Alligator mississippiensis: one gene and its partners. The protein of the gene in region 2 interacts with the protein of the main gene of each other region in a pairwise test. Links are inferred from orthologs where the notes say so. Each region holds a gene or a part of one and is shown on either strand. Other genes may lie near its edges. The genes, in order: PLEKHF2, MAX, MXI1 and UNC45A.

Region 1 (7,921 bases), on a different chromosome or scaffold from region 2:
GTAAAAACTTAGAACTAGATCCTTAACTGATGTAACTTGGTATAGCTCCACTGAAGCTGTTGAAACTATGCTGATATATAGCAGGTAAAGATTTTGCCCTGAATTTCTGGCACTAAAGCCGAATGAGATGATTCTGTAGATATGCAGGAAGCTGATCTGTTAAGAAAGGTGGTGTCATTTTACATAGTCTGATGTTAGACTTGAAAGACAGTTTACGTCTTGTAAACATGTTCTGTGTTCTGTTTCAGGCTTTTTTTTTAATATAACCAAACTGAAGAATTCTCAGGAAGGAACAACGACACTAGTAGGAGTGGAAAAATAACTCCCACATTTTAAGGAGAAGATCCACAGAAAAAACTGAATGGGAGGTGACTACATTCGTAAACTGAATGTGATGTCTACCCGACTGCCCCCTCCCCAGTGTGCCATGTGCCATGCACAGAGGCTGCCCGTGCCACTTGTGGCACCCATGAAACAGGTTGGCCATCCTTGTTCCAGACCATGAAGTACTTAGGTACTCTATGGAAAGTACTCCAGCCTACTGAATGGCAGCAGTTTGTGTCACTTGTACGTTCTGACCATGAAGAAAACGATGACAAGACCAGGTAGCTAACAGAACCCAAACAGAGAAAACCTCATGCAGCATAACATGCTAGATTTGATGATGTAGGTCTTAGTCCTATGTGTTATGTTCCACTGGGGCCAGGGAAGGAATTATTCCTAAAGTTAACCTCCCATCCCCTGAAAAAACAAAAAATCACATTCACATTTGGAACAGTGGCTTTGTAAACATGAATAATAGTAATAGCCAGGGATCTGGGTTTTCTGTTTTCTGTGGAAAAATGCATATTTTCTCAAAATTGGGAAACCTTGGGTTTTCCCTTGCAGGCTGGCAGAGTTTTAGCCTGCAAGGGGTGGGGGAGTAGGGTTAGGGTTAGGCAGTGTGGTGGAGAGCACCTCCTACAGCTCCCTGCAGGTAAGCCTATGGGAGTGGGGGGTGGGATGGGAGCACAAGTGATGCGTCGGAGGTGGAAGGGCACAGATAATGTGTCCCCCAGATTTCTGTACCCACAGTGAGGCACAGGGCTGCAGTGAGAAGCGGAAGGAGAGGGAGCGCTGTGCAGCCATGGACACCAAGGTGAAGTGCCCCCTGCCCACCCAGCAGCAGTTGGGTGCACAACTCCATGCTGCTGCCCCTGTTTCTTTCCCCACAATGTGTTGTTTGTGTCCACACCCCGCCTTCCCTGCACACTCACCCCCTTCTTCCCATACTGGGGCCTGGGGGGAAGTGGGGTGGGGCACTAGCAGGGCTGGGGGAGCTGTGGGTCGGGAGTGAGGGACACTGGTATGGGCAATGGCAGGGCACCCATATATAAGGGTTGCTCAGAACCACGAAGCAGCAGGTGGGACAGCTGCAGCTGGACTCGTGTTCTGATGAATGAAGGGGGTGGAGCTCTGATTTTCCATGATCAAAAATCCAAAATCAAACACCAAAATATTCAGGTATTTAGAATTTTATTATAATGACTGAGTCACTGGTAGGCTTCCAAATTGCTCTAAAATTGTAAATATATCAATAAAGCATAGTGTTAAACTGATACCTATATGTACCTACATAGGGAGGGTGTGTGTGTGTGTGTAGTGGCATTTAATTTCATCCTAATTGTGGAATAATGCAGATTTTACATTTTTATCAGAGAACTTGGGGTTTTTTATTGGAGAATTTGGGATTTTTTTTAAACAGAGAAAACCAGGATCCCTGCTAATAACACTGAAACCAGGAACTTTAATGGACTAATCGTTCCCTTTTAACTTCTCTCCATTTGATTTTATAATTTGAAATGACCATAGATTAAGGATTTGGGGCTGTTTCCTTTTGCTATTCAAATTAGCTGAACATGACAGCTAGATAATTTAAACCTCACTACAGTTAAATGAAACTTAATGGTTCAAACTGTTGGTGCAGTTTATTTCACAAGCACAGACTTGTACATGCTGATGAGTCAGGAGGCTGTGACACAGAAGTCATACCTTTGTATATCATCATTGTATCACAGGAAAAAATATCAAATCTCTAAACTTTTCACAGGCAACAAAAGCAATTTTAAGACCCATGACATTTCACATCACTTACACAAATACCTTTGTAAAATTCGTGTGGTTCTAAACTTATCCAAATAGATGATAAACCTGAAGCTAATGAATACATCCCCTAGAATAATAAAGGTTGAAAAATATTTCACAAAATTGAAATGGCAATTTAAATTAGAAATATGGGGCTATTCTTTAGGAAACAGGATTTTATTATTTATGTGGTATTTTTGGTATACAGGATACTGTACAACAGATCAGTGTTTCTTAGCTGTTTCAGGTTGGCAAGCCCTTACTCAAAGTGAAAAATCTTCATGACCTGCTGAAACATGTTATAAAAGTAAAAGGTTTATAACATTTATAATAATGATAATTCTTCTGATGAATACTTCTTGTTTTGAATGGTAAAGGTGTGCAAGGAGTAGGGGAACAAGATACTGCTTACTTCTGATGCATAACAGAATTTTCAACACCTTCTGATCACTTTTGTAGGAGTTGCAACCCACCACCTGACCAACACCACCAACCCACCACCTGACCAACAACCACCAACACCACCAACCCAAAACCACCACACTGTAAAAGATCATGGTTTTGTAACTAGGTGGTGCAACTACTTTCCAGACCAGTCACCTTGATCCAGCCTAAATGAGAGCAGCATGTTATATGGAAAAAGTTTAGAGAACTATGTATATAGATGAAGTGTCTTGTACAGTTACCAGATCCTGGATCTGAGAATCTTACAATCCAAAAGGCCTAGCTAGTACAACACAAAATGTGAGTGCTTCTCAGTCTGATTACCTCAGGAAAAGGGGTTCTTTAGAAGTTTTATTGGAGAGGGAATGAGCTTCACATACATTAGATGGAAAGCTATTCTGGGTGGCACCATGCCATAGAAACCTCAGTCAAAAATGGGCAAAACAAAAGATGTGTTAAAAGGCAATCCTGTGGAGGATATGAGGGCATAACATCTTGGAAGATAGTACAAATGCTTACATTTAACAAAACAGAAGCTGACAGGGGAGGATCTGGGGGAGAGCACTGGTGCGCTTGCACCCCACTTTGATTACTGCTCCAGCCAAAGTTTAAAACCACCTGCCTGGCAGTGGCGGCAGTATTTCTAGTCAGGCAGTGCTGAGGGAGTCAATGGACTTCATGGCTCATTATAATCTACCGGATCCTTTCTAAACTCTTCAATCCCCAGCTGTTACCAGCCCTCTTCTTTTTAATGGTCTTCATGTTCCACCAATCAAGCTCTCCTTTGTTCTGCAATTCTGGTCTCTCCACAGCCCTGCAGATTGTATTCAACTCACTCCAACTAAGATATATTTGTTTTTGTTTCTAATAGAAATGGAATCATACAGCCTTAGACCCCTAGTGTCTTAATAATGCTATTTCTTAATGTAGTCTATTTCTAACTGGAGAAAAATTGTGTTATATGTGATGATGCACCTCACCATCTGCACACCCCTTTTCAAAATCCTAGAGCTTGCCACGGAAGCTGCCATAAGACATGCAGCAAAGAGGAAAGAGGGTGAGGTGAGCAACGGATGCCCAGCAAGTTTCACCCACGATAATCCATTTCTCTTCGGCAATTGGAAGTGATCAAAGCCGTCCCCTGAGGCCGTATCAGGCACTTGGGGCTCAGCTCCAGCAGGCCTTTTGATGCTATGCTGTTCCAGAACGTGGGACACAGCCAACGGAGCAGAGCTAGAAGCCCCCACTCAATGAGGATGGCCACTAAGGACATGTCAGTGACCGCTTGGGACAACCAAGACAAAACAGCGATGGGGGTGAGGGTCACAGGTTCAAAACGAGTGCAGCCAGTGGGGACAGGGAGCAGAGGACACCGGACAGTGCCTACAGGCCCCTGAACTAGTTGAAGGAGCCAGTGGACACTGCCTGGAGAACAGAGGAGGGATGGGAAAGCGAGGTGATACTTCCCCTCTGTGCAGCACTGGTCAGGCTGCAGCTGGAGCATTGTGTCCAGTTCTGGACACTGCACTTCAAGAGGGATGCGGATAACCTTGAGAGGGTCCAGAGGGCCACTGGTATGGTTAGGGGCCTGCAGGTAAGATCCTATGAGGAGAGATTGTGGGACCTTGAATCTCTTCAGCCTCCACAAGAGACAGCTGAGAGGGGACCTTGTGGCTGCCTAGAAGTTCACTGGGAGGGGCAGCAAGGAATAGGGGATACTCAAGTTTGCCCAGGCACCCCTTGGGGTTACTAGGAACAACAGCCACAAACTGATGGGGAGCAGATGTAGATTAGACAACAGGAAAAAATTCTTTATGGTGAGGGTTGCCAAAATCTGTGATGGGCTCCCAAGGGAGGTGGTGCTTCACCAAGAGCTCAGGGGGTCTTGAAGAGGAGGCTGCACAAGCACCTGGCTGGGGTTGTGTGAGCCCTGCGCGCTTTCCTGCCCAGGCCGGGGTCGGACTCCATGATCTCCTGAGGTCCCCTCCGACCCTACAGCTATGAAAGTGGCGCTGCAGGCCTGGGGGGTCCTCCCTCCCTCCAGCCTGGTCAGGTGTACCGTGGCCAGGGCCAGGTGGCCCAGGAGGGCCTGGGGGTGCATAAAGGCGCAGGCAGCCAGTAGGGCTGCAGGGAGCCGGACACCCTCCCGCAGGCCATCTCCCCAGCCGGGCCGGGCCGGGCGAACCGCGCTGCGCCCCACACAGGCAAGGCCCCGCGGGCGGACACGGCCTCCCCGCGCCCGGGGAGAGCAGCCGCGCGGGGAGGCGGCCCTGCCCCAGCCTCCCCAAGATGGCGCCGGCCCCTCCCCTGCGCCCGGCCGGGCGGGGCCTGCAGCCAGTCCCAGAGTGGGAGCCCGGCGGGGCGGGGTCGGCTCGGCTGCCCGAGCGGGGAGCGGAGCGGGGAGCGGCGCGGCAGGACGGGCCGGGCCGGGTGAGTGTGGTCGCTCGCGCGGGACAAACTTTGGCTGGCGGCGCCGTCCCTGCGCGGGCTCCGCGGCCATGTCGGGAGCCCCCGGGGCCGTGGCCGTGGCTGCCTCTGCCGGGCCCTGCGCCCCGTGGCCAGGCGGCCGAGGCTCAGGCCCCGCCCCGCCCCGGGGAGCCGCTCGGGAGGAAAAGGCTCCTCTCCCTCCCGGCCTTCAGGCAGCCCCGCTCGGTCCTTCGCCTTCCCCTTCTGGTCCCGGGCCGGGCAGCGGCGATGGGGAGCCGTGGCCTGCAGCTCCCCGTGCCCAAGCCCCGGCCGTACTGAGCAGCCCGGCTGCTGACTCCGCGTCCCCGCTTTGTGCGGTCTGTAGCCCGGGACAGGCCGGGCTGGAGGAGTCGCAGCAGGAGCAAACTGCTGGTGGCTGGGGTGGGTCGGGCCCGGCCCGGGGTGGCGGAGCCCAGCGCGGGCGGGCGGGCGGCGGGAAACGCCTTCACTCGAGGTCGGGCTGAACGGATGAGTTGGGAACGGGGGAGTGACATTTCCAACAGACCCGAGTAACGCGAGGTTGGTTCGAGCATGGCACGGCACGGCACGGCACGGCACAGCTCGGCTCGCCGCTTCCTCCTGGCTTCCGAGTGAGAGAGAAATCCAGCGGTAGCTAAACTTTCAGGTCACTTGGAGAAGTTTGTGGGGCGTTAACAGAGTTATTTTTAGGAATCTGGGGGCTTTCTTCCTACAGTAGACGGTGAGGATTGCGTTGCTGCCTGGCTTCGCTGTATGAGCTCTGTAGTGCTTGCCTGTGTCAGTAGTACCAGCGACTGGCATCTAGCTCTGAATTAAGCCTTTCATTTTAAAACTGTTTAATCTAAATATTACATTTTAATAAGCAAGGAGCTGTTAAGGAGATTAGTGCAAAGTGAGAGTCTTGTTTCCACTGTAATAGCTCACTTTACACTCCAGCTCAACTCATTTTCCAGGTGTCTGAGGTGTTTCAAGCAGTACAGATATTGGCTGTAAATATCATTCAGAGAAAGTCCAGCAGCCTAGGACATGGTGACTCTGAAACCCTATCATCTTTGTTGGCCCCAGATTCCTGGCTCTTGCATACAAAATATATCTCGGGGCTTTGGAAGCTTTGAGGAGGTTGCTGCTGTATATGAAAGTAGATGGATGGAGTTGCTTGAATTATAAATGTAATACTGATGTGTAGAGGCTTGAGGCAGGAGTGGAAGCTGCTGCTGCTGCTTCCTTCATGTCATTCAGAGTTAAATAGATGAGTATCTTTTTTTGTAAAGATGTACCTAACAGTCTGAAATTAGAGGGGAAACACATTTTGTGAAGAGGGATTAATTTTGTTTTTTAAATTATAGGCTGCGGACTGGGACATAAATTCAGGGCTTGCTACTTTCTTCTGCATTTTTCAACCTGCTCCAGCTTCCAGATTCCCAGCTGTGTATTAACTAATTCTGTTGATAATCACTTTAATGGTTATATTCAGATGTTTTGGTAGGCCTTTAATGGAGGTGAAAAATGCATAGGACTTGATTGTTTTGTATCAGTCTTGTCTGGACAGCAGTTTGGGTGCCTTCACTGAAGACATAAAATTGTTTCGGGCTGTGCTTATGGTAGAGCATGCAAAACGGGCTCTTTTGTGCACTCTGGTCACAATTATCTTCACAGCTGTGAAGGCTAGATACTCGAAGTTGAAGTAGAGCATGTAGATAATAACAGAGATGATTCGAGTATGTTGAAGAAAATATGCCTGTTGACTAAAATATTTGAAATGCTGTGTAGTTGTAATTCTGACACTTGGTCAAATACATTAACTGGGCTCTCAGTATTAGGGTAATGCTGAGTTAGTTAAACTAATGGGCTGCTAGTATGTATTAATGAAGACAAGTAAAGAAACTTCAGGGTTGGCTTCAGCCAGACATGTTTGCTTACATCTAAAATATTCTCTGAAAGATGTCTTGCTTGTGCGAAAGAAGAGAAACCAAAAATAAAAACTGAGCAGTACTCTAAATAAGTTTTGTTCTACAGCAATGGGCTAGCTAGTTTTTAATAGACTTCAGTATATTTAATATTCAAGTTTTATTTTAGTTCACATGATTTGTAATACCAGTTGTCACTTCCAAATATGGCATTTGTGTGTGCTGGTAAATTTAATGGTTTAACTTAATTTTTAAAATGTAATATATATTTTTGTTTGAAAAGGTAAATTATGCAAAATATGTTTTTAAAATGTAATCATAAGTTTTAAAAAGCTTGTCCTTCCCTAATCAAATATAAAGTTGCTTTTGTTCCAAGGGATTTAGTTCAGCACTTATTTTTGTAGTGGTGGGAGTGAAGTGGATAGAGAAACTTATCTGTAGACATGTATGGAAGATCATGTTTATAAAAGCATTAAAATACTCTTCAGTGTGGTAAAACAAGTGATGACAGCTGCTGTAGCAAGTTGAGTCCTGCAGATTGCTAATTTGAGAAGTTCTGCTAAAGGAATTGGGGCTGCTTGTGTGAATAAGACTTGCTTTACAGTTTACAGACAGTCATGAATTATACTGCTGCGTACTTATTTTGGCTCTTAATTTTTTTTACAGTTAGGTCAGAGTTCATAAAGTTGCTACAATATAAATACCTTGGATCTTATGGTGTGTCTTTGCATACATACTACTGTAGGTAAAAACAAAACTTGATAGTAACTTAAGAATTTTAAAAATTATTTTTGAAGTTCAAATATTTCATTTTATAGGATTGTTAGTCACTTGCTTCAATTACTATTTTCTTTGTTCTAAATAATAAGCCAGGTAGGTTTATTTATCATATATGCAGTTCAAAGTACTTTATGCATTTTGTATAAATGAATTAAACAGTGAAATTAGTGGACTTTAAATACTGGAACTTTTTTTTCCCTAAAATATAGTAACCCTAGGAG
Region 2 (6,932 bases):
GAATGCCCAGATGTGTCACAGTCTAGGCAATCCCTACAAATTAAACAATCAAGCAGGTGGCCTGAGAAATACCAAACTCTGCAAATGAATACCAGCTCTTGAAAAGCAGCTCCCTGGGAGCCCGTGGTCAAACACTGTGGCCCCGTCACCCAACAAGCCAGCCTTATTCACCAGCATTTGGACTTTGCAACCTAGATTATCTAGACTGGAGGTTTTTGGAAGTGCTGGAGGAGAGCAGCACCACAATTGCTCTGAGGCTGGGGACACAGAGGAATGTATCAGCCAAACTAGAACACTCAGAATCTAAAACCGACTCAAACTGGTTCTAAACTTGGTGTCCCCCTATAACTCACTGAAAATCAACCTGCCCAAATGAAGAGAATTCCTCCACTTCCTATATATTTGAACTGCTGCCAATAGCACAGGACATTGCTGTGTCTGCACCATGATGAGTCTTAAGCAGAAGAAAACCTTTTACTTGAGGGCACGGATCAAGGGGATGCAACACGTGCATGCTCGCTCTGGGATTCCATAGAAAACTGCAGGCCTTGGCACATGCTTGGTCCCGCCTGGCAGCCTGCCACAAGGAAAGGCAGACTTCAGAAAGGGCTCCTGCTTGTGGTCAGCAATCCCACGAGCCCAGGATCTCAGCACAGCAGCTCCCAATATGCACCTGGGTCCCCCAACCTCAGAGATGGACCCTTGCACAAACCCTCACCATTCGTGGCACCCAACCCTGCTCCACGTCCAAAACTCACACCACCTGCTTCTTACAACAGCTGCAATTCCCCTATAGTCTCAGCTGACAGTCTACAGCAGCCTCTCCCCTCAAAACAGCGAACACATAGCAAGAAAGAGTAGACACAGCCTACAGCACACTGCCAGTCCTGCTCCATACCTAACCTCCAGCGTGGCCCATGCACACCACTCCCTCCCCGACTCACTTTCATGCCTTGCCTCAATCAATCCCAAGAGTTAATCCCACCACACATTGTCCTACCCTAGATCCACTACAACATACAATCCAGTCCACATGCATCCCAACAGACCAACCTGACTTAAGCCTACTCCCACAACTCTTCCCGTTGCAGCCTACCCCTGCATGTGCCCCACAACACTCACCCCACCACCACTGCTCTATCCCACTCAAACACAGCTGGCCCCTTCACCTAGAAACAATCTGCACCCTGATGTACAGGGACAATCCCAGCCCAAAATATTTCCCTCCCCACCCCAGATCCCTGCCTATACATACCTGGCCTAGACCATCCTCCCCCCAACCTCTTCCCATATTCAAACCTGGCAGCGCCCATTTCCCCCCACAACCCTGGCCTAGCCCCTTTTGATGTCAGCCCATCCCTACACCAAGCTGAGACCATTTTGCCAATGGGTGACTGGTGCCACCTTAGTGAGGGGGGCACGTGGCCCCCCCCAGCGACAAGTCAGTGACCTGTCACAAAGCCAAGGTCTGGAACGGGCTCCCAAGGGAGGTGGTGCTCTCCCCTACCCTGGGGGTCTTCAAGAGGAGGTTAGATGAGTATCTAGCTGGGGTCATCTAGACCCAGCACTCTTTCCTGCTTATGCAGGGGGTCAGACTCAATGATCTATTGAGGTCCCTTCCAACCCTAACATCTATGAATCTATGAAAAAGCAGCTGCGGTGCTCCTAGAAGCAGGGGGGGGGGGAGCCCTCTGTGGTGTCACCCCCAGCGACCTGAGCGGCGAGTGCAGCCAGTCAGGGGGTGCACCAGCACTCACACGGGATGCACGTGCACCCACTACGCATCACCCATAATTTGGCCTCAACTTGGGTCACCGCATGCCTCACTGAGACCACTGCCCCCACTATCCCTGCCCATGCATAGACACAGCTTAGATTGCTCTGCTGCCTCCTACCCACATACACATTTGGCACAGACCATTCCCCCTCAGCACCTGCATTACTGGTTAAGATCAGTACATGCCCACCTGCACACCACCTCTTGCCCCCATCCTGTGCTGGGCTGAGACCACTCACATGCCAGGCGAGATTGCTTCCATCTGACCTCTGCCCCCCGCCACCAGGCCCAACCCAGAGCATTGCACCCCCCCTCAATCTCTGCCCAGATGTTTCCAGCACACATCCTCCCTCCCAGCACATAAATGCATCCTACTAGACCATTCTCTGCAGCTCACCCATCTGCCCTGGCCCACGCATGCCTGCCTGTCCTTGGTCCCTCTGCCCCAAGCACGCTTGCTCTTGTCACACACAAGCAGCAAGGATCCCAGCCTGTCACATGTCCTGCCCAGCTTAGCCCCCCTAGCACAAACAGATGTGCGCCGTCCCACCCAATAGGAAGACGTGCACTCTGCAGGCGAGGGTCTCCCCAAGCATCGCACACCTGTGCCTGCATCTGCCAGTCTGGTCTGCCCCACGTGCCCCAGCTGGTTCACCCTGGCGGGACTCCCACGCACACGGCACCCGGTGCCTTGTGCAGCCCACGCCAGTGCCCACCCGCAGCTGGACCCACCCCACGGCCCTCCCTGCCCGCGGCCGCGCCTCCCCCGCCCCCGCCGGTCGGCCCATGCAGACGCGCGGCCGTGGCGCCGCGCACAGACGCCGGGTCTAGGGCGAGGCCCCCGCCGCCCCGGCCCCTCCCCACCCCGGGCGGCGGCGCTGCTGGGCCGGGCCGGGCCGGCGGGAAGCAAGGAAAGGCACGTACCGCAGACTGAAACCTCGGCTGCTCCTCCTGCAAGGAGAGAGAGACAGAGAAACACACGCGTTACTGCGCCGCCGCCCGCCCGCCCGCCCGCCCGCGGCACTGCCAAGCCGAGCCGGGCCGGGCCGGGCCAGACCAGACCGAGCCGACGGGGTGGGGGGGGTGCGGCACTCACGTCGCTCTCCACCTCGATGTCATCGTTGTCGCTCATACTGCCGGGCCGGGCCTGCGGGCGCTGCGAGCCGAGCCGAGCCGAGCCGAGCGGGGCCACGGGCAGCACAACAACAGCAGCCGCAGCAGCCGCCCGCACCGCGCAGCCGCCGCCGCCCCGCGGCCGCCCCTGCTCCGCGGGGGCCGCTGGGGGATGGAGTTCGGGCCGCCCGGCCGCCACCGGCGCCCGCCCCCGCCGAACTACCACTCCCGGAGGCCCCCGCGCAGCCCGGTCCCTGCCAGCGCCCCCGCGCGCCTGCGCAGTGGTGGGCGCGGTGCATGCTGGGGGCTGCAGTCCCGGCGAAGGAGGAAGGACTCCGCTTCCCAGCAGCCGGGGAAGGACACGTGGATGGGGCGGCGCGGCCCTGCTTCCGCTCGGGGGGGGAAGGCGTCGTACGGGTCCTCACTCCCTCCCTCGCAGCTCCGAGCCCTGCCCCGGGCGCGCGGGGGACAAGCCTCCTGCATAAGAGGCGGGTGCAGGCGGAGGGAGAGCGCACAGGCCCCTCCGAACAGATACTCGGGAACCAGCGCCTCGCGTTCAAGAGTTGTGAAAGACTTGGCCGAGAACCCCTACGCGCCCTTCCTACTCACTCACGGCGTGCGGGCGGGAACAGCGGCACACACCGCCTGCCCTGCCGGAGCGGAGGCCGCGGTGGGCTGCCCACTGCGGGGAGCCCCGCGCACGTCTGGGGGCACGTGCCCCCTGCCCGGGACTAAGCGGCGGCGAGTTGCGGCCGCACATGCCCCCCAGACTGACCTGCATGCGGGAAGCAGCAGCTCTCGCCTCGCACGCGGCTGCCTCCGGCCCGGCCTTGTGCAGGGCTGTGCGCAGTCACGTGGCGCCTGCGCGTCCGCCCCCAGCAGGCCCCGCGGGCTGCAAGCTGCTGGACAGCGCCCTTTCCCGCCCTGAACGAAGCACCTGCCGCCCGGGTCGGGGACTGGAGGTTTCTAGATTGGGACTTTCTCTTCCGACGAGGGGCGGGTGATCACTGCTTACTAGCGGCATGTCAGGTGTTCATCAGGTTGAAGGGGGCAGGCCTGGGTGATGGTGGGTAACAGTGGTGGTGAGCAAAATCCTGGGATGCCCTTGGCAAAGATGGCAGCTTAGGGCATGGGCGACTGGTGCCTCCCCAGGCGGGGGCAGGGAGCACTTAGCGCAACAGCAGCCAGTCAATGATCAAGGGGGTCCCCCCGTGGCTGATCACACCAATCCAGAAGTGCTGTGCTGCTGGCACTTCCGGGTCGCGCAACACTTCTGGATCAGCGGGGTGGGCTGTGGTCAGCACGATGGACCGTGGGAGGACTGCAGGGATTGCTTCTCCTGGCACCCCCACTCCCCAGCTGGCGCTCTCAGGGCGGACACCAGCGCTCTTGCCTGCCCCACCTGCCCATCACCTAAGCAAGGAGTTGCGCATTTGGTTGGCCAAGTTAACTGTGCTACCAGAACAGGCTTCTCTAACATTTCATGTTATGATTGAAAAAGAGCGTTGTCCACTGTTGGTATTAGAGCTGCACCAATACATCAGTCCAGTATCGGATTGGCACCGATATAAAGAAAACTGACTGTATTGGAAATTGGCTTGATGTAGCCAATTAATGCTCTGTGCGTGCCCACAGCCACAGCACAGCATGTAGGTAACAAGGAGCACAGCTCAGTAGCAAGGAAAGCTGCGTGTAGCTGGTAAGTCTGTTGTAGTGGAAGGGGCATGGGCAGATCAAGGCCCCCATGGTGAGGGAGGGAGTGGGGCTGCAGCAGGTGCTGCCCAGCTGGGGCAGGGTGGGGTGTGGGACACAGCTGGGGCTCGGGGGTGCAAGGATGGGGGAGCTGCTCCCACCACTGCATGCACCCCAGGAGGGCATGGGGGGGGGCTTGTGGCCCCCTGATCAGGGCAGGCTGCAGCTGTGGGCTGGGGCCAGGGCTGCACCGGGCTCTTCCCAGTGGGGACTGGGCTAGGCTGCACTCAGGGTGGGCAGTGTTGCTGGGAGGGGGGTTGAGTGGCTATGACAAATTTTGGGGTGGCTGCAGCTCCGCCCATCCACCATAGCTGCCATTGCCTAGCCCAGCCCTTGCTGGGAAAAGCCCAGCACAACCCCGGCCCGCAGCTGCAGCCCACTCTGCCCGGCCCCACACAGATCCAGGGGCACGTGCTCCCCATGCCCTCCCAGGGTGTGTGCAGCAGCAGGAGCTGCCCCCACCCCCCCTTCCTGTACCTCCCAGATGAGCTATGACTCCCATCCCGCACCCTGCCCTGCCCCAGCCCCACTCTCTCCCTCCCTCACCACAGGGGCCTTGATCTGCCCCTCCATGCCCATTCCCTCCCCACTCCCCCTTCCACCACAACAGACTTAGCAGCTGGACCCGGCTCTTCAAGCTGCCTGGCTGCGTATTGGAAATTGGATTGGTATCGGCCGATATGCCTCCTTAAAAATCGGCTATCAGTACCGGCCCCAAAAAGGTCCATCAGTGCACCCCTAGTTGCTATGGTCAGCATGGCATGGACCCAGGACTGACTTGGCAGAGGCCACACGCAGGGCTGGACTAATCCTTTAGTGTTCCTTACGCAAACAAACTCGTGAGCCCCAGGTTGGTTGAGATCATAGCCACGGCAAAGCAGGCAGAGGGGAGGGGAAGGGAGGCAGATGGGGCCGTTTGTGCTGCTGCCGTAGAGGAAAGGACCAAGGCCCCTGCAGCCCAGGGCCCTAGGCATGTGCCTAGTATGTGTTAATCCGGCCCTGATCACACAAGTCTTTGTCAATGGCAGGGCCAGAAGAGAACACCTGCAATTGTAGAAACCATTTCCATGGGGAGTGTTTCTCAGGGTTCCTGTGAGTCAGACTCAACTCAGCAGCCTGTGTGGTAAGAGATAGTCACCCTTCAGGCCTTTTATTCTGCTTCCAAATAGATTGGCGTAGCACAGGTTCCATGTCACAGTCACTCTCCCTTTGTCCCAGCCAAGGTATTCTGAGAATCCCATCTCCTCCCTTGGGATTGTGCTGCCTGGCCATCACTGGGCCAGTAACTCCTGTTACTTGCTCTGGCCCAGCTTTTGCTGGCTTATATGAGATCCAAGTGATCTCCTAGGCATCACCTCAACCCTATCTTCTCTGCATCTGCTGGGGGCCAGGTAGCTAGTCACAAGTGGGATGAGGCCCAAGTCCTTTCAAGTGCCAGCTGTCCTGTGCCCAAAATCCATCTGCAGCCCAGGGTAGAAGTAGAAGCATACAGACAGATGCCACCAAGCTGTGCAGAGTAGAAGCAGGTCAGCTCTGCAACATCATCCGTATCATTTCATAGCTTAGTTAAGGCCGCAAATTATGTATCTGGGGGAGCTGAGCTGGCTGGGGAGTGCATCCTGGATGGCAATGATGCTGAGATAGGATCAGATAACCTCAGGGGCGGGTCTGGGATTTGGCAAAGTGGGGTTCAGGAGCAGCCAGCTGAGCACCCCCCACTCCCAGATTCCACTCCCACAACCCACCTGTTGGGGAAACAGCACTGCAGGAGCCTCTGGGAGCATTTTAAAGGTCCCAGAGCAGGTGAGCATCCCCCAAACTCTCCTTCTCTTCTTCCCCCTCCAATCATGCTGCCTTCCCTGCTGTTGGGGTGGGGGTGGGGGTGGGGGAAAGCTTCAGAGCTGCTCTTGCCCACTCCTGCAGGGCTGTGCAGGGGCTGGGCTTAGCTGAGAACAGCAGTTAGAATGGGGGGGGGGGGTCCAATTTCCCAGACCCCACAAGAGCAGGGGAAGGAAGCTGCTGTTGCTGTCACTGCCCTAGGTGAGCCCAGCCCTCTCCCATACCCCAACAGTCCAGTTGGAGTAGACAGGAACAGCTCTGAAGTTTCCCCCACCCCCAGAACAACAAGGAAATGCAGCAGTAACTGGCTGCTTTCCCCAGACTGGCTCTAGCAGCACTGTCCAGGCCAAAAGGGGGTGGTGGGATGTAGCCACCCCACTGCACTCCCTCTGTATCTGCCCCTGAATAACCTCTGAATGGTATCTGATGGGGCAGCTGGGACCCAAGCATG
Region 3 (7,821 bases), on a different chromosome or scaffold from region 2:
TTCAACCCCTTTCGGTGCTGAGAAGCTCTTTCCTTTTGAAGTTCAAACAAACAGAGTAAAATCGGTGAAGATATTCTCCAGGTTAAGGACTGTGTTTCATAGTTTCACAGCTGGTCGGGTCAGAAGGGACCTGAGCAGATCATCTAGTCTGACCCCCTGCCATGGCAGGAAAGAGTACTGGGGTCAAACGACCCCAGCAAGGTGTTCATCCAGCTTCCTCTTAAAGACCCCCAGGGCAGGAGCCAGCACCACTTCTCTTGGAAGTTGGTTCCAGGCCCTAGCCGCCCTGACTGTGAAGTGGCGCCTCCTGATATCTAGCCTGAATCTACCCTCTGCCAGCTTGTGACTGGTATTTCTAGTCACTCCTGGGAGTGCTCAGGGGAACAGGGACTCCCCCAATGCCTGCTGGTCCCCCCTGACTGGTTTGTAGACGGCCACCAGATCCCCTCTCAGCCTTCTCTTGTGGAGGCTGAACAGGTTCAGGTCCAGTAGACTCTCCTCGTAGGGCCTGCCCTGCTGCCCCCCGATCATGCGGGTGGCCCTCCTCTGGACCCTCTCCATGCTGTCCACATCCCTCCTGAAGTGTGGCGCCCAGAACTGGACGCAGTACTCCACCTGCGGCCTGACCAGTGTTGCGTAGAGGGGGAGGATCACCTCCTTGGACCTGCTTGAGATGCATCTGTGGGTGCACGACAAGGTGCGGTTGGCCTTCCTGACCGCATCCCCACACTGCTGGCCCACGTTCATTTTGGCATCAATGAGGACTCCAAGATCCTTTTCTGCCTCTGCACTGATGAGAAGGGAGTTCCCCAGCCTGTAGGCATGCCTGCTGGTTCTTCCTCCCCAGGTGCAGCACCTTGCACTTGTCAGTGTTGAAACCCATCCTGTTCTCATCTGCCCACCCCTGTAACCTGTCCAGGTCTGATTGCAGCCTATTCCTCCCTTCTAGCATGCCCACATCCCCCCACATCTTAGTGTCATCTGTGAATTTGAACAGGGTGCTTTTTATTGCCTCATCCAAGTCGCCGATGAAGATGTTGAACAGTGCGGGCCCGAGCACCGAGCCCTGGGGGACCCCACTGCCCACATCCCTCGAGGTTGAAAATGACCCGTCCACCACCACTCTCTGGGTGCGGCCCTCCAGCCAGTTAGTGATCCATTTGACTGTGTAGGTGTCGACACCACAATCCCCTAGGTTTTTAATGAGACTAGGTGAGAGAGTGTCAAAGGCCTTCCTAAAGTCCAGAAACACTACGTCCACCGAGACACCTGCGTCCAAGGATTTTGTGACCTGGTCATAGAAGGCCACCAGGTTGGTCTGACAGGACCTGCCTCGAATGAACCCATGTTGGTTGCCCCCAAGCATAACCTCCCCTGCCGGCCCCACGTGGACATGCGCCAGGATAATTCTCTCCAAAAGTTTACCTAGGATCGAGGTAAGACTGACTGGCCTATGGTTCCCTGAGTCCTCCTTCCTCCCTTTTTTGAAACTGGGAACCACATTGGCCCTTTTCCAGTCCTCCGGCACCACACCAGAGCACCACGAGTGCTCGTAATGCCGAGCCAGGGGTCCCGCAATGACCTCCGCTCATTCCCTCAGCGCTCTGGGGTGGAGGTCGCCAGGACCAGCTGTGTTGCATTCACCTGCGTGTGATTCAGTCTCTGGCTGATGTGATTCATGCTGAAACCCAGTGGCCATAATTTTGGGCTCCTCCTTGCTGTCCTGGTCATTCTGCAATTAGAAAGCAGGCGTCTCCGGGACCGATAGTTTCACGAGGCTGGTTGACAGGGTGCACGTGTGAAGCAGGGGCTGCGTCATCTCGGTTAGCTGGGGCCATAAATTAAATAAAACTCCGTTTCAAACACTGCTCAGAGATGTTTAACACCATCTGGGAGACGCGTTTCACCTCTCGTCTTGGTTGGTGATGTTCATGTCTACTTCTTCACTCCTGACCAGGCCCTTTCGTCCAAACTAAAATCTATCCCTGGCCTCCTGGCACCTCTTTGTGGATGTCCGGTCCGCAGCTCACAGCAAAAATGGGCAAAAGGAGCTCTTTATATCTCTCTTCCCCTTGCATCCACTTTCTCGAGTGTCTGACATCCTTCTGGCATTGGGGTGTCAGCTTCGACGCAGTCCTTTCTTCCCGTCCTGGTGAATTCTTCTTGTTCCATGTGACTAAGATCCAGCTTTTCTTCTCCATCCACAAGCTAGAGCTTCATCCAGACTTTCATTATCTTATTACTTCTTCTTTACTGTGACCTCTCCCTCTCCAGTCATCACAAATGCAACCAGGTGCCTTTTGGTTCCCATTCAAAATGCTGGAACAAGGGTTATTTTCCTGGTTCAGGGCTGCTCAGGGTCACCTTCACTTTGCATCTCTTCAATGGCTCCCTCTCCACCACGTCCTCGCACACAAACCGCATGTCTTCACTGTCCAAACCCACTCTGGACTTTCTCCTGTGCCTGTATAGCACTTGGTCCAGCTGGTATCCACAGGGGCTCCTAGGTGCCCATGATAATAAATGATAATAATCAGATGAGTAGAAGGCATAGCTGTATGTAAATCAGAAATTGGAGGAGACCAGTGGGATGGTATCATTTGGATCACTCGAGTGCAGAATTGCACCTCATCGCATAGCCTGTTCTCCAGTACTCGGGCCAGTTTTACACGATCCTTCAGTGATTCTGTGCTGTTCCAGGGAGTCCTTAATACATAGTAAGAATGTCTAAAAATTGCTCCCATTGAAGCAAGCATCTACGTTTAATCAGTGGAACAACTTGCTTGCGTCTGGGCAGGTGTTTGCACGTGCACCCTGCTGTATCGGGGCCAAAGCAAGCAGAGCTTCGTTCAGCAGTTTGCTCCGCAGCGCTCAGGACTGCTACCAGGTGCATCAGTGAGGCCCGAGAGCACAACGGTAGTGGTTCTCATCTCGGGCTGTCGAGCACCTGCACAAAATCAAGCCCTTCCACTGAGGGCAGGTCTCAAGTCGGGCAGCTGAGAATCGATCCCAATATCCCCACTGAAAGTGCAGATGGAGGGATTCTCCCATTGACATGCAAACTTCCACCCGCGGCCCAGGTCCTCAGAAACATGGTGTTCCTAGTTTAGCCCTGCTTGCATACGTGACCTAACCCCAGCAAGATGGGAGGGAAGCGTTCTCCAATCTCGGGGTGTGATGGCCTGGAGTCTGGGTGTGTCAGCAGAGGGATGGAGGGAGGAACAATTTGGAGATCACCCATCTGTTTGATCTGTTCTGGCTCGCAGACCATGCTTTACAAGAATTAGCGGCTGGATTACAGCTCGGAAAAGGGAGCAGGCCCAGGTCAGAACTGTCTTCTGAAGGGATGAGTCATTTTGTTTGTGGATCACACCCGCAGAGACACCCATTTCTTTTGACAATGGAAATGATCGTTGGGGGCAGGTGCACTGCTGCAATCTCGGTTGCTTCCTGCTCCACCCAAACTATCAAACCAACTGCCCAGGAGTGGAGCAGCATTTCTATTCGGGCAGCAGCGAAGGACTCGGTTGACTCCACGGCTCATTACACTCCTGATTCTTTCATCCCACAGATATGAATGCCCCTCTCTCCTTTGAAAGGCCTTGATGTTCGGCTAATCAGATCCGCTTTTCTTCTGTGTCTCTGCTGCTTGGTATCTGTATGCGGTAATGCATAGCCCTGCAGATTGTTTTGAACCCTAGCTAAAATCAGCTCAAGGGTGGAAGTAACTGTCCGTGATGCACTGGATGCAGAGTCAAGATGCTCAAAGCAGGCTTTTGTTTTAGAGGTGCACTTCGTTCAAATCAGCGCAAGACTAACGAAACAATGTATTTGGGTTATTTTTGCTTCGTTTGCTGTGTTTTTATGCATAATACACGACACAGCAAACTAATGCCCATTCCAATACATTTCTATTTCTTTTGTGCTCCAATCATAAACTGAATAATAATGATTAATACAGCCCTAGCTTATCACTAAGGCTTCTTGTTTCTTTTTAATTTGATAAAAATATGTGCTGTGTTACATGTGACGATGCACCACACCATATACACCCCCCTTTCTGAAATCCTAGATCCACCCATATGTTCATTATTCACCTTTTTCTTCTAGTTTGGTAACACTGAGCAGCATCTCCATGAGGCCCCACGGCAGTGGGTTGTGTACGAGCCTCTCTCGATTTGCAACGCAGGCACCTCTAGGATGGAAGATGCGTAGCCGAGATGCAGCTTGGGGTTGTGCCGTGAGGTTTTCACCTCGTTGGCGATGTCTGCACCTGTGCACTTGTGTTTGGTCACGGGTATCGACTGCTTTCTGCCCCCAGATGGGGTGCAAATTGTCACTTCTGTCTGCACCCTCTGTGATGGGGAACTTTGGATCAAGGCAAATCCCAGCTTTTATGAGAAATGGCTGAGGCTCCGGGGCCCGTGGCGTTCATGGTTGCAGCGGCACCTTGACCCCCCCCCCACCCCAAAACGAACAGCGTCTATTCCAGGCTCCCAGTACACACGTAGGGACGACAGGCAAAGACCTGCAATCTCCATCCCCAAAGAGGAGGAACAGGGAGGCTTGGGGTTGTTTTTTTAGGTCTCATCAGACTGTCTGAAGTGTTGCACCCGGTACTTTGCCAGGAGAAATATTTGCTCTGTTTCCTATAAGACTATAATGCTTGCAGAAGGCGTCCCTGCTGCGTCCAGATCCCGATACGTTTAGGTGGCAGGAACAAAAACCACCCGGCAGTTGAAAAACGAGCCCGACCTCTACAGGGCTCCAGGAGAGGGGGTGGCGGGGGGAGCCAAAACCATGAGACAGCAGGTTTTCATCTGCCCCCTCCACCTGGCAGCCCGGTGCACACGCGGCACCGGCAGCAACAACTCGGGGAAAGAAAGAAAAGAAAAGAAAAGAAAAGGAACAAGTGGGGTTGTTCTGCCAGCGCTGTCCGAGGGGCTGCCTGCGTCCTCCCGGGCCAGCGAGGAGGCGCAGCTCCCTCTTCCCGTTCACCTTGCGCTGTGAGCAGGCTCAGGAGCGCTAGGACCGCGGCGCCGCCTCGCAGGCGGGCAGGCAGGACGGACGGACGGACGCCTCTTGATTCATTCACTCCGCTCCGCGCACACGCGCACGCACACCACTGCGACCGGGGCAGCCGCGCTCGGAGCCCATGGGGAAGCGGGGCCGGCCGAGGAAGGAGCTGCGGGGCGAGGAGGAGGAGGAGGGCGGCTCGGGGCCGGCGGCCGAGGGCTGGCTGCCCCGCTGCCCGCTCGGGGACATCTGCAACACCCGGGAGGCGTCTCGCGAGCAGCTCGGCACTTTCCTGCACAACGTGCAGCTGCTGCTGGAGGCCGCCAGCTACCTGGAGCAGATCGAGAAGGAGAATAAAAGTAAGCGGCGGCGGCGGCGGGGGAGATAGATGGGGGGGGGCGCGCGGCCCCGTTCTGAAGCGGTCTAAGCACGTCTGTGTGCGCCGCGGCGCGTCGTGCGGCCGCCCCCGCGCTCCCACGGCGGGCTTTCGGGGGCAGCGGAGCGCGGGGCATCCTCGGGGGGTGTTTTTGGAGGTGTTGCAGGAGGGAGACGAATGCATGCCCCCCCCCCATGATGGATGCAATGAGGCTTTGTTGGTGCTTGTACCGCGCACGGCAGTGTCCGGGGGGGGGGAACGCTCCCCTCCGGTGCCCCCTCCCCTCCCCTCCCCTTCCAGCGCCAGGCCCCGCCCCCCAACAGCGGCCACATGGCTTCCACATGGAGACGGGTTCCTGCGCTCCCATTGGCCCGGCCGCGCGGGGGGGGCGTGGCGGCTCGGCCAATCGCGGGCGCCCGCAGCCCCCTGCCTGACGTCACGCGTTGCTGAGCCCGGAGCGGAGGGGGCGGCTGTTGGGGTGGGATGATGTCATGGTGCTTCTTAAAGGGGCCGCGCGGCGCAGTCCTGGGGAAGGGGGGGGTTGTCCTGAGTGTGCAAACTGGGTGCACGGGTGTGCACCGGCCGGGGGGAGGGGAATCTACTGGGAATATCCTGGTGTGAACTGGGCATATGCTGCCTGGGGGCAGTACGCTGGGTGTACGCTAGGAATGCACTGGCTGGGGGGGGTATATACTGGGTATGGACTGGGAATATACTGGAGGGGGGAATATGCTGGGCATGTACTAGGAGGGCACTGGCTGGGGGGTGTATACTGGGCATGAACTGGGGTACGCTGGCTGGGGGCGACGTGCTGAGTATAGACCAAGAGTACACTGGCCTGGGGGGGCGGGGGGGGATACACATTGCAGCGTACTGGCTGGGTATATACTAGGAATTTACTGGTGAGGGTGTGTACTGGGCACAAACTGGGAACACGCTGGGTGTATGCTGGGACTGTGCGGGCCCTGGGGGAGGGGGCCGACACGGACGTCATTTTTTTGCGGACAGCGAGTGAAACAATCGCGGTCGTGAGAGTCCTGCCCCGATGCGATTCTTTTCCCCTAAGAATCAAACTCGAGTCCTTTTGTTTTTCCCCGTCTTTGCGGGAAGCTTTGCAGCGCTCTGCTCTGCTTTCCATTCGTTTTTGTGCCGAAGGCTCGAGATGCTTGTGAATGGCACGGTGCACATTAATTACCGTATATCTTTGTGGGCAGGGAGCTCCCCTGATTAGCAGCTGCACGGTTACCATGCAGTTCTGAATAGAGGATGCCCTTGTTTAGCAGGCGCAGCTTTATCTGCCCGAGCTGCGAGAGAAAACGATCGCGTTTCAGAGAAGCTGCCCTTCTGTCAAAGCCGTGGGGGGGATTAATTGAAAGCCATGGCTTCTCTGTGCTGAGATGCACGTCGGCTAGTCATAAATACACGGATGGAGCGTGCATTCATGTTTTTAAAAGTTCAATTAATTAACTTGTATTTTCTTACATTTGCATGATGCTGTTGTACTCGCTGTCTCCAGAGACCAAAGCATTTGGCTCTATAAACAATTTAGATGTCGGTGAGAAGAGAGGAAAAATGACACGCGATACCTTGCAGAAATAACGACCTTATTTTTAAAACCACTAACAGCGATCGAGTCTGCTACTGCTGCATTTTTTTTTTTAAAAGAATCTGGTCTTAAAAGGATCAGAGAGGTTTAAAACCAAGGTTTTCTTTTTGTTTAGGCTCAGAACACCAGCGTTATGTGTAGGGGTTTTTTTAAATAATTGCTGCCAAATTTCTTGCTCGGTTTTTGCATTGCAATAAGCTTGGACCGTGAAGACGGACGGGTCTGTTTCACTTTCTAAACCGTGTGCGCTGCTGCTTGGATTTATGGTGCAAAATCCCACAAAGGGAACATGTCCATCTAAACAGCCCTCTTCCGCACTCCCTGTCTTCCTTGCAACTATTATAATGCTTTAAGAAAGAAAATCTGTTCATAGCAGGTTTGGCAAAACTTTCCATTTTTATTTCTAAAAACAGCACAAGGCCTGCACATGCGGTTCAAATGCGCGGTATTGCAGAGCTGTATCCATCTCATGCTGCCTTGCATTTGTAGTTCAAAATACGATCATCGTAAAACAGCTGGATAGTGCCATGCGAGCATGTTGCTCCCAAACAAAGGAAAAAGGCTACCTGGATTGGAAGATGATCTGCCAGCGTTACAGGCCCCGGGCATCTACTAGGGAAAGATCTGTCTCAAAGTATATTCTCATTCCTAGTGGATGGAGATTTACATCTTCAACTCAGATTATTATAGCAAAAGGGTACCGTGCCCTTTAGCCTCTCAGACAGAGCAGGAACTATTGCACCATTCTCCCTTTAGAGGCCAGCTGACAAAGACATCAATAACATCTGCACCCTTATCTTTGCAGCCTGGAAGTGCTTGTTAG
Region 4 (7,045 bases), on a different chromosome or scaffold from region 2:
GTGCCCCACCCCTGCCAGCTGGGCACCGGGGCATGCAGCTCTTTCACAACCCAGCCCCCAAGGCTGCCAGCAGCACCCCAGCCACGCCTGCCTCTTGCCCCCCTCAGCAGGAACCAGATCCTGGGGACACAGGGTGCAGGCCCCACAGCAGAAGGCTGGGCTACGACATGAGGTGCCAGGAGGGGTGCCCACTTCCCCTGCTGTGCCCACAGAGGCACCCGCCGCTCACCCAGCACAAGGGCGTCCTCCTTGCCACGCACGTCCCGCTGCAGCCCCTCCTTGAGCGCGTCGATCATGACCTGCAGCAGGTTGCAGGCCGCCAGCGAGACCTGCTCATGCTCCGCGCCCAGCAGCCCTGAGAGGCGCGGCGGCCCCAGCTCCGCCAGGATGGCCGTGGTCTGCGGGCACAGGGACGGTTGCTGCCAGGGGAGCCCCAGGTGCCCAGCCCCAGCCCCATGTCAATGTGCGGCTTCTTGTTGCCACACCCCTGGCCCTAGCACCTCCACACTCCTGGCCCCAGCACCTCGTGCCCATCACGGCTGGGGGGCAGCCCCCAGCATTCAGGAGAGCAGAGAGGCCTTGCTGGCGAGACACTGGTCCCAGCTGGGCTGCAGCCGCTGGGTCAGCCACACCCCTGCTGCGGGAGCCCTCCCCCTGGCACGGCTGACGGGATGGGGGAGCGCGGTGTGGCGCACGGCCCTACCCGGGAGCGGTGGCCAGAGCAGAGACCGACCAGGGTGCGCAGGGCGGCCAGCATGGTGTCAGCCTCGCCCGCCTCCAGCAACTGCTGCAGCAGGCGCACGCCATCGCTCTGGAAGATCTTCTCCGCCCCCGGCTCCTCGCGCGCCAGCACGATCAGGTTCTGCGCAGCCTGCGAGGGAGCAAGAGTCACGGCCAGGTGCCAGCGCCCGTGCCCCACCCCACCGGCACTTGTGCCCCTGCAGAGGAGCCAGGACCAGCCGTCACCCAGGCCCCAATGCATCGGGCACCCCGGCAGGGCCTTGCCACAGCCGCCCCCTTCGGGGCCTCAAGCAGCCGCTTTCTGCACAGCTCAGAGGCTCCGCACCCAGGGCCTTGGCGGCCTCTCAGCACCACGGCTTGTGTGTGACCCCCACTCGCCCTCCCAGAGCCCCTGCCCCCAGCCAAGCTAGCCCCCCTCCTTCCCCACGCACCTTCTGCCTCTTGTCCGCGTCCTTCTCCTCGGGGTCCAGCAGGATCTGGAACATCTGCTGCACTTTGGAGTCCGTGCAGGACATGGCCTTCATCTGGGACAGATGGATGAGCAAGTCAGGGGGGACGGACGGGCTCCAACACGCAGCAGGGGCTGCGGCTGGCCCAGGGGCGAGGGGCAGGGTGGGGGGCTCCACCTTCTCCTGCACGCTGCTGCCCAGGTCGCGCAGCGCCTCCTGGAAGGCCTTGTTCCGGGGCTCCAGGCTCACGCAGCGCTGCAGGTCCTGGGCGGCCTGGTCCAGCCGGCCCAGCTGCCGCAGCGCCTGGCTGCGGCGGAACAGCGCCTTCACGTCACGCCCGTCCGCCTCGATGGCTGAGCATGGGGGAGAGGAGCGTCAGGGGGCCGGAGCCCCGGCGGATGGCGCCCGCACTGGCCTGGCCCCTGCCCAGCCCGCCGGTACCTTTAGATGCATCGGCTTCTGCTTGGAGATAATCCTCCTGCAAGGACAGACGCGGGTGAGGGAGGCCGATCCGTGTGCCGCAGTGCTGGACCCGGGGTCTCGCCAGCCCCGATCCTGGCCCAGATTCTGACAGTGCCTGCAGCTGGGGGGCCACAGCGCTGCCCCTTTCCCCCCCCCGGCGAGACAGGCGGCAGAGAGGAGTCACCACCGCGCACGCGCTCAGTCAGCACGAGCCGTGTGTGCTGCGCCCTGCGCGGGGGCAGGAGCTCGCTGGCGCCAGAGGGCAGCAACGAGCCCCGGGGACATCGGAGCCCGCGGGCCCCATCCTGGAGGGAGCCCCAGGCAGCCGGGGCGCGGCGCACGGGGGCTCGCTCGCTCCTCGTGACCCAGCACCGGCCGGGCTGTGGCCCCAGGCACCCGGACCCCGCTGCCCTTCCCTGCGGCGCGTTAACGGGCCCCGGGGCTCAGGAACGGACCCGCGGCGCGCTGCCAGGGGCAGCCAGATGGCTCCGCGGCCACCCGGCGCTGCCTCCAGCCCCCGCGTCGGGGCGCGGCGCGAAGGCTGGGCTGGGATGGGCCGGGCAGGCTGGCGTGCGTGCATGTGCGTGTGCAAACCTGTGCCGCCCCGCCCTGCCCCGCACACCCGCCCCCGCGGTCTCACCAGCTTGAGGTGGCAGGCGGCGCGGTTGCGGTGCAGCACGGCGCGCTCCGGCGCCCGGTCGCACAGGCCCAGCGCCCGCGTGTAGGCGGCCAGCGCCGCCTCGTAGTCCCCGGCCTGGAACAGCTCGTTGCCCTGCGCCCGCAGCTGCCCCGGCACCGCCTGCGGCACGGCCGGCCTCAGGGGCAGCGCGGGCTGGGCACCCCGGGGGCACCCCCACCCCGGGGGGGGACCCTGGCCCTGGGGAGCACCCCCACCCCCGGGAGTAACCCTGCCCCCGGGGAGCACCCCCACCCCCGCCCCGGGGGGTACCCGCACCCCTGGCGGTGGGAGGGTGGGCCCATGGGGATGGGGCACTGTGGGGGGGGCACGGCCGGGCTGTGGGCAGAGCCCTGGGGGAGGAGGGGGGGCAGCAGGGGTGACGAGGGTCAGGGGTCACTGTGCCAGGGGAGGACCATGGGGCCCCCAGGGCGGGGGCGGGGTCACGTGGGGGCCTTGGGGACCCCCCCGAGAGATGGGGCCAGGGTCACGTGGGGCAGGGGCCGTGGGACCCCCGTGGGCTGGGGTCACGTGGCAGAGAGGGCGGGGCAAGGGGCAAGGGGGGGTCGCGCTCACCGGCTCTTCCATGGCGACTCCCGTCCGCGCCGCTCCCGCCGCCGGCCCCGCCCCCGATGACGCCATGGCCTCCGACTCCGCCCAGGGGCGTGGCCGGGCGGGCGGGGGGCGGGGCGTGGATCCTACCTGTGCTGGCGGCGGCGGCGGTGCAGCGCGTCCGCCACAACGAGCGCCGCCACGAGCAGCCCGTAGAGCGCCACGGCCGCCTGCGCCAGCGCGCTCCTGGGGGCGGGGCGGAGCGGGGCGGGGCGTTCACTCGGGAGCCGAACGACGGCCGCCCCCCCACTCCCCCCCCCCCGGGGCTCACCGGAGCGCGGCGGGGCCGGGCGCGCGGGTGGCGTTGCGGGGGCCGGGGCCGGGGCCGGGGCCGGGCGGGCGGGCGCAGCAGGACTTGAGCGCGGCGGGGCGCGGGCGGCAGCAGAAGCGGAGCTCGGCGCTGTCCGAGAGGCGCGGGCAGGCGAAGCCGGCGTGGGCGCGGCCGTCGGGCCCGGCGTAACCCTCGCACAGGTGCGGGCCGCGGGCTCGGGCTGCGGGCCGGGCCGGGCCGGGGTCACCCGGGGGCAGGGCGCACGGCGGGGTGGCCCCGGGAGCGCGGCCGGGGCAGGGGCAGCGGGCTCGGGGGCGCCTGCCTACCTGCGGCGAGGAGCAGCCCCAGCCCCAGCACGACCCCGGCCAGCAGCATCTCGCGCTCGGCGGCCGCACACGGCGACGCGCCTCGCCTCGCCTCGCCTCGCCCCGCCGGGACCGGCCCGGAGGCAGCAGCATCGCGGGCGCTAACGAGCCCCCCGGGACCGCCCGCCCGCCCGCCCGGCCGGGGCAGCGCAGCGCAGCGCAGCGCAGCACGGGCGGGGCGGGGCGAGGGGCTCAGCACCCCGCGTGGGGCCCGGTGCCCCGGCCTGGCCCCAGGGCCTCCGTTAGCAGCCGCTGGGGGCAGGAGCCCACGACCCCCGCACCGCCCCCGCAGGCGCCTGGGGGCACGCGGCTGCCCCTTCCTTCCCGCCCGCGTCGCGTCGCGTCGCGTCACTGCCCGCCGCGGAGGGCACCCGGGAGGGCCGCACACGCCGAGGGGCCGCCGCACGGGTCGGCACGGGCACGGGCACGGGCACGGCCCGCCGCCGGCGCCCGCAAGCGGCACTGGGGCGGCTGCTCGCCCTACGCCCGCATCCGGCCCCCAGCCCGCACGGCCGGCCGCTGCACCCCCCCCACCCTGGGCCCGCTGCGCTGCTGCCCGGCCCGACCCGACCCGCGCGGCCGCGGCCAGGCCTCCCCCGCCCTGCCCCGGTGCCGAGGGACCCGGCCGGGGCCAGGAGGGAGCTTGGCCTGGCGTCAGGCTGAGACCGGCTGGGCCCAGCCCTGCATCCGGGCGCAGCGCGGCCCCTCGGGGGGCAGTAATTGGTCCGGGGGGGTTCAGCGACACCGGTGCCCGTAGCAACCAGAGGGAGGTGCGGGGGGGGAGGAAAGCACCAGAAGCTCACACGTGGCCCCAGCCCCGGTGCCAGCCTAGGGACCCAGGGCCGGCCGGCCAGTCGGGGATGCCCCTGACACCTGGTTAAAGGCACCAGGAGATGCGGCACAAACCCGCCCGGCGTGGGGAGGGACGGGGCAGAGACCCCCAGCTGGGCTAAATGCTCCCCATCCTGCCCGGCTCGTGCCCAGGCAGGCCTGGCCCGCGAGAGCCCCCGGGCGCATGGAGGCACATGGACACAGGGCGCTTGTTTCCTAGAAGCTCATGATGTGCTCGGCCAACTCAGTCTCTGCCCCGTGCAGTCCATCACCGCCCCAGCTGGCAGCCCGTCCTGCCCCGGGGGCAGCGCTGCACCACGCTGGGGGGCAGAGTCCGGGCCTCGCCCCAGCCCAGCAGGCTCCAGCATCTGCTCCTGGGGCTGGGAGGTGCCGGAGACACGTCACACCTCCCTGCTGGGGCAGCAGGGTCCTGCCACCGCTGCGCTCCTGCCCCGGGAGCCACCGTGCCTGCCCCAGTCCAAGCACGGGGTCCATCCGTCGCACCCAGGCGCAGGCAGCCGCTGGACAGCGATGCCTGCCGGTCCCGCCCGGCACAGCCGTGCCTCTGCCCCTTCCGGATGAGCTGGGGCGCAGAGTCACAAACAGCAGCCACGGGTCTACGAGTCCAGCTGCCCTCGTGCGGCAGCCCGGCCAGATCTCCTGCTGCCCGGGAGTCACCCGTGCCCCCAGCGGGGCCCTGCCGTGCCCGGGGCCGCTCGCGCTCCGTGGCAGGGCCTATCCGAAGCGGAGGCGGAAGGTGGCGATTTCCATGGGCTCCAGGTGGATCACAGTGTTGTTGGCGGAGGCGGTGCCCAGCGGGTACATCAGTGTCAGTGAGGTGGGCTGGAGAGAGCCCAGCTCCAGCCCCTGGAACAGGCTCCCCAGCACCAGCTGCAGGGGGGAGACGTTGGCTGAGAGGGGGGCACAGCCCCCGGCATAGCCCACACCTCCCGTGGCCCTGGCCACCACCCGTGTGCAGGGAGCTGCTCCGGGTTGCAGTGGGTGGCCCCACAGCAGTTGCAGCAGGGTCAGACCTCGCATGCCATGTCCCAGGCCCTCAAAACCAGCGCCATCTCCGCAGCCCTGCACGTGACCCAAAGCCGCCCCACACCACTGCCAGCCAGTGCCCTGAGAGCCCAGCGCTGCCCACAGGGAGCAGAGCACCAGGGCAGGCAGGCGCCAGGCCAGGGAGAGCGGGATGGCGCCAGAGCCAGCGCTGCCTCTGCCCCTACCTTGCCCTGGCTGGTGGTGCAGTTGAAGCCCAGGTTCTTGGCCTCCAGCCCACAGTCGAAGCCCTTGCGGTGCAGGATCAGGGCGGCCTCAGCTGAGGGCAGCGAGTCGTCCTGGGGAAGCAGATGCAATTGCCGCAGAGCTGCCATGGGGCAGGACCGGTTGGGGCACCAGCCCCCAGGAGCAGAGGCCCCTCCACCCTGTCCCTGCCCGTGCCCAGCGGGCCGGACTTGGTGCTGGGCAGCCGGCGCTCACCTCGGCCTGCAGCGTGCGGAGGTTGAGGATGTGGAAGTCGCAGGGCACCGTGCCGGCCAGGGGCAGGAAGGAGCGCAGGGCAGGCAGCGCCGTCTTCTCCTGGGCCACAGGCATCACCAGGACCTCGGCGTTGAGGTGCATGGAGGTGGCATGGCTCAGCAGCGAGGGGAAGCTGGTGGGGCGGCTGTCCTGCACCTGCACCGCAGCGAGCCACGCGGTGAGCACGCTGGAGCCACCAGGACCCAGCACACAGGGCATCTTGCCAGGCCTTGCCACGGGCGGGGGGTGTCTCTTGCTCTGGTCCAAGCCACGGGGCAGGGGCTGACCAGCAGGGGTGGGAGCTCTGCCCAGAACTGGTCTGTAGCTCCCTGCCCCCAACCTGGCCTGGGGAATAACACCCCATCCCCCAGGCAGACCTGGGCTGGAGGATGTGGGGCAGGGCTGCCATGGGGCACTGGCACCCCAGCCCCCGTTGCCACCCCTGGCGCCCCAGCCAGGACCCCCGGGCTACTCTAGTGCTGACTACCAGCTGGCTACAGGTGAGCGGTAGGGCCCGCGCTACGCTACGGATACCAGCGGCTAGCACACGGGACGGGCGCAGGGCAGGGGCAGGCGCCCGTTACCTCTTGGCTGCCAGCACTGGTGCCCAGGGCGGCCAGGTCTCTAAACACGGAGGCCAGCTTGGACAAGAAGCCGGAGCGCTGGGGGTGTGGGTAGGGGTGGGAGGCGGCGGGGCGGGACGAGAAGAGCCAGGTCACAAGGAGCCACCCGGCACCGGGCCCAGACACGGCCAGCTGGGCACCTCCCCACGCGCCCGCCCCGGAGCCACGCAGCCCGGTGCAGGGTGTGCACCGCTGGGTGCAGGGAGGGGAGGGAACTTGTGCCGCGCTGATGCTCCCTCCCTCCCGCCTCAGCCCTGCTTCTCCAGGGCCTGGACCAGCGGGGTTGCCCCCTCCCCGCCCCCATGAGCCCCTGACCTTGTTGGCCGTGGTGCGGCGCTCCAGCAGGAGCCGGAAGCGGCTCCACGTCCGTTTGTTGTCCTTCAGCCCCTGGCCCAGCCCGCGGTTGTCGTCCTGCACAAGCCGCCGGTCCAAGATCACCTCCAGCTGGCCTGCGAGAGCCGGCAGGGCTGGCCTGTGACAGCAGGCACGTG

Evidence for each region.
Region 1: the proteins of MAX (region 2) and PLEKHF2 interact in binary tests that used the Homo sapiens proteins (3 or more experiments, as listed by UniProt). The two-hybrid records come from large-scale screens. The link is inferred for Alligator mississippiensis from reciprocal best matches to the Homo sapiens genes MAX and PLEKHF2.
Region 3: the proteins of MAX (region 2) and MXI1 interact in binary tests that used the Homo sapiens proteins (3 or more experiments, as listed by UniProt). The link is inferred for Alligator mississippiensis from reciprocal best matches to the Homo sapiens genes MAX and MXI1.
Region 4: the proteins of MAX (region 2) and UNC45A interact in binary tests that used the Homo sapiens proteins (3 or more experiments, as listed by UniProt). The two-hybrid records come from large-scale screens. The link is inferred for Alligator mississippiensis from reciprocal best matches to the Homo sapiens genes MAX and UNC45A.

What each region holds. Positions count from the first base shown.
Region 1 is NC_081826.1:42,918,823-42,926,743, reverse strand, and holds the start of PLEKHF2 (pleckstrin homology domain-containing family F member 2), read left to right. Parts: upstream 1-4,904; 5' UTR 4,905-4,998; intron 4,999-5,486; exon of another isoform or gene 5,487-5,659; intron 5,660-5,712; exon of another isoform or gene 5,713-5,734; intron 5,735-7,921. UniProt on the Homo sapiens protein: May play a role in early endosome fusion upstream of RAB5, hence regulating receptor trafficking and fluid-phase transport. Enhances cellular sensitivity to TNF-induced apoptosis.
Region 2 is NC_081825.1:171,679,930-171,686,861, forward strand, and holds the start of MAX (protein max), read right to left. Parts: upstream 3,014-6,932; 5' UTR 2,910-3,013; coding exon 2,874-2,909; intron 2,729-2,873; coding exon 2,702-2,728; intron 1-2,701. UniProt on the Homo sapiens protein: Transcription regulator. Forms a sequence-specific DNA-binding protein complex with MYC or MAD which recognizes the core sequence 5'-CAC[GA]TG-3'. The MYC:MAX complex is a transcriptional activator, whereas the MAD:MAX complex is a repressor.
Region 3 is NC_081829.1:95,203,093-95,210,913, reverse strand, and holds the start of MXI1 (max-interacting protein 1), read left to right. Parts: upstream 1-4,813; 5' UTR 4,814-5,155; coding exon 5,156-5,375; intron 5,376-7,821. UniProt on the Homo sapiens protein: Transcriptional repressor. MXI1 binds with MAX to form a sequence-specific DNA-binding protein complex which recognizes the core sequence 5'-CAC[GA]TG-3'. MXI1 thus antagonizes MYC transcriptional activity by competing for MAX.
Region 4 is NC_081834.1:786,291-793,335, reverse strand, and holds the start of UNC45A (protein unc-45 homolog A), read right to left. Parts: upstream 3,014-7,045; 5' UTR 2,971-3,013; coding exon 2,905-2,970; intron 2,452-2,904; coding exon 2,293-2,451; intron 1,669-2,292; coding exon 1,632-1,668; intron 1,544-1,631; coding exon 1,368-1,543; intron 1,266-1,367; coding exon 1,173-1,265; intron 872-1,172; coding exon 704-871; intron 399-703; coding exon 230-398; intron 1-229. Other genes in the region: MAN2A2 (alpha-mannosidase 2x), read right to left, coding at 5,143-5,298, 5,640-5,750, 5,893-6,087, 6,870-7,003.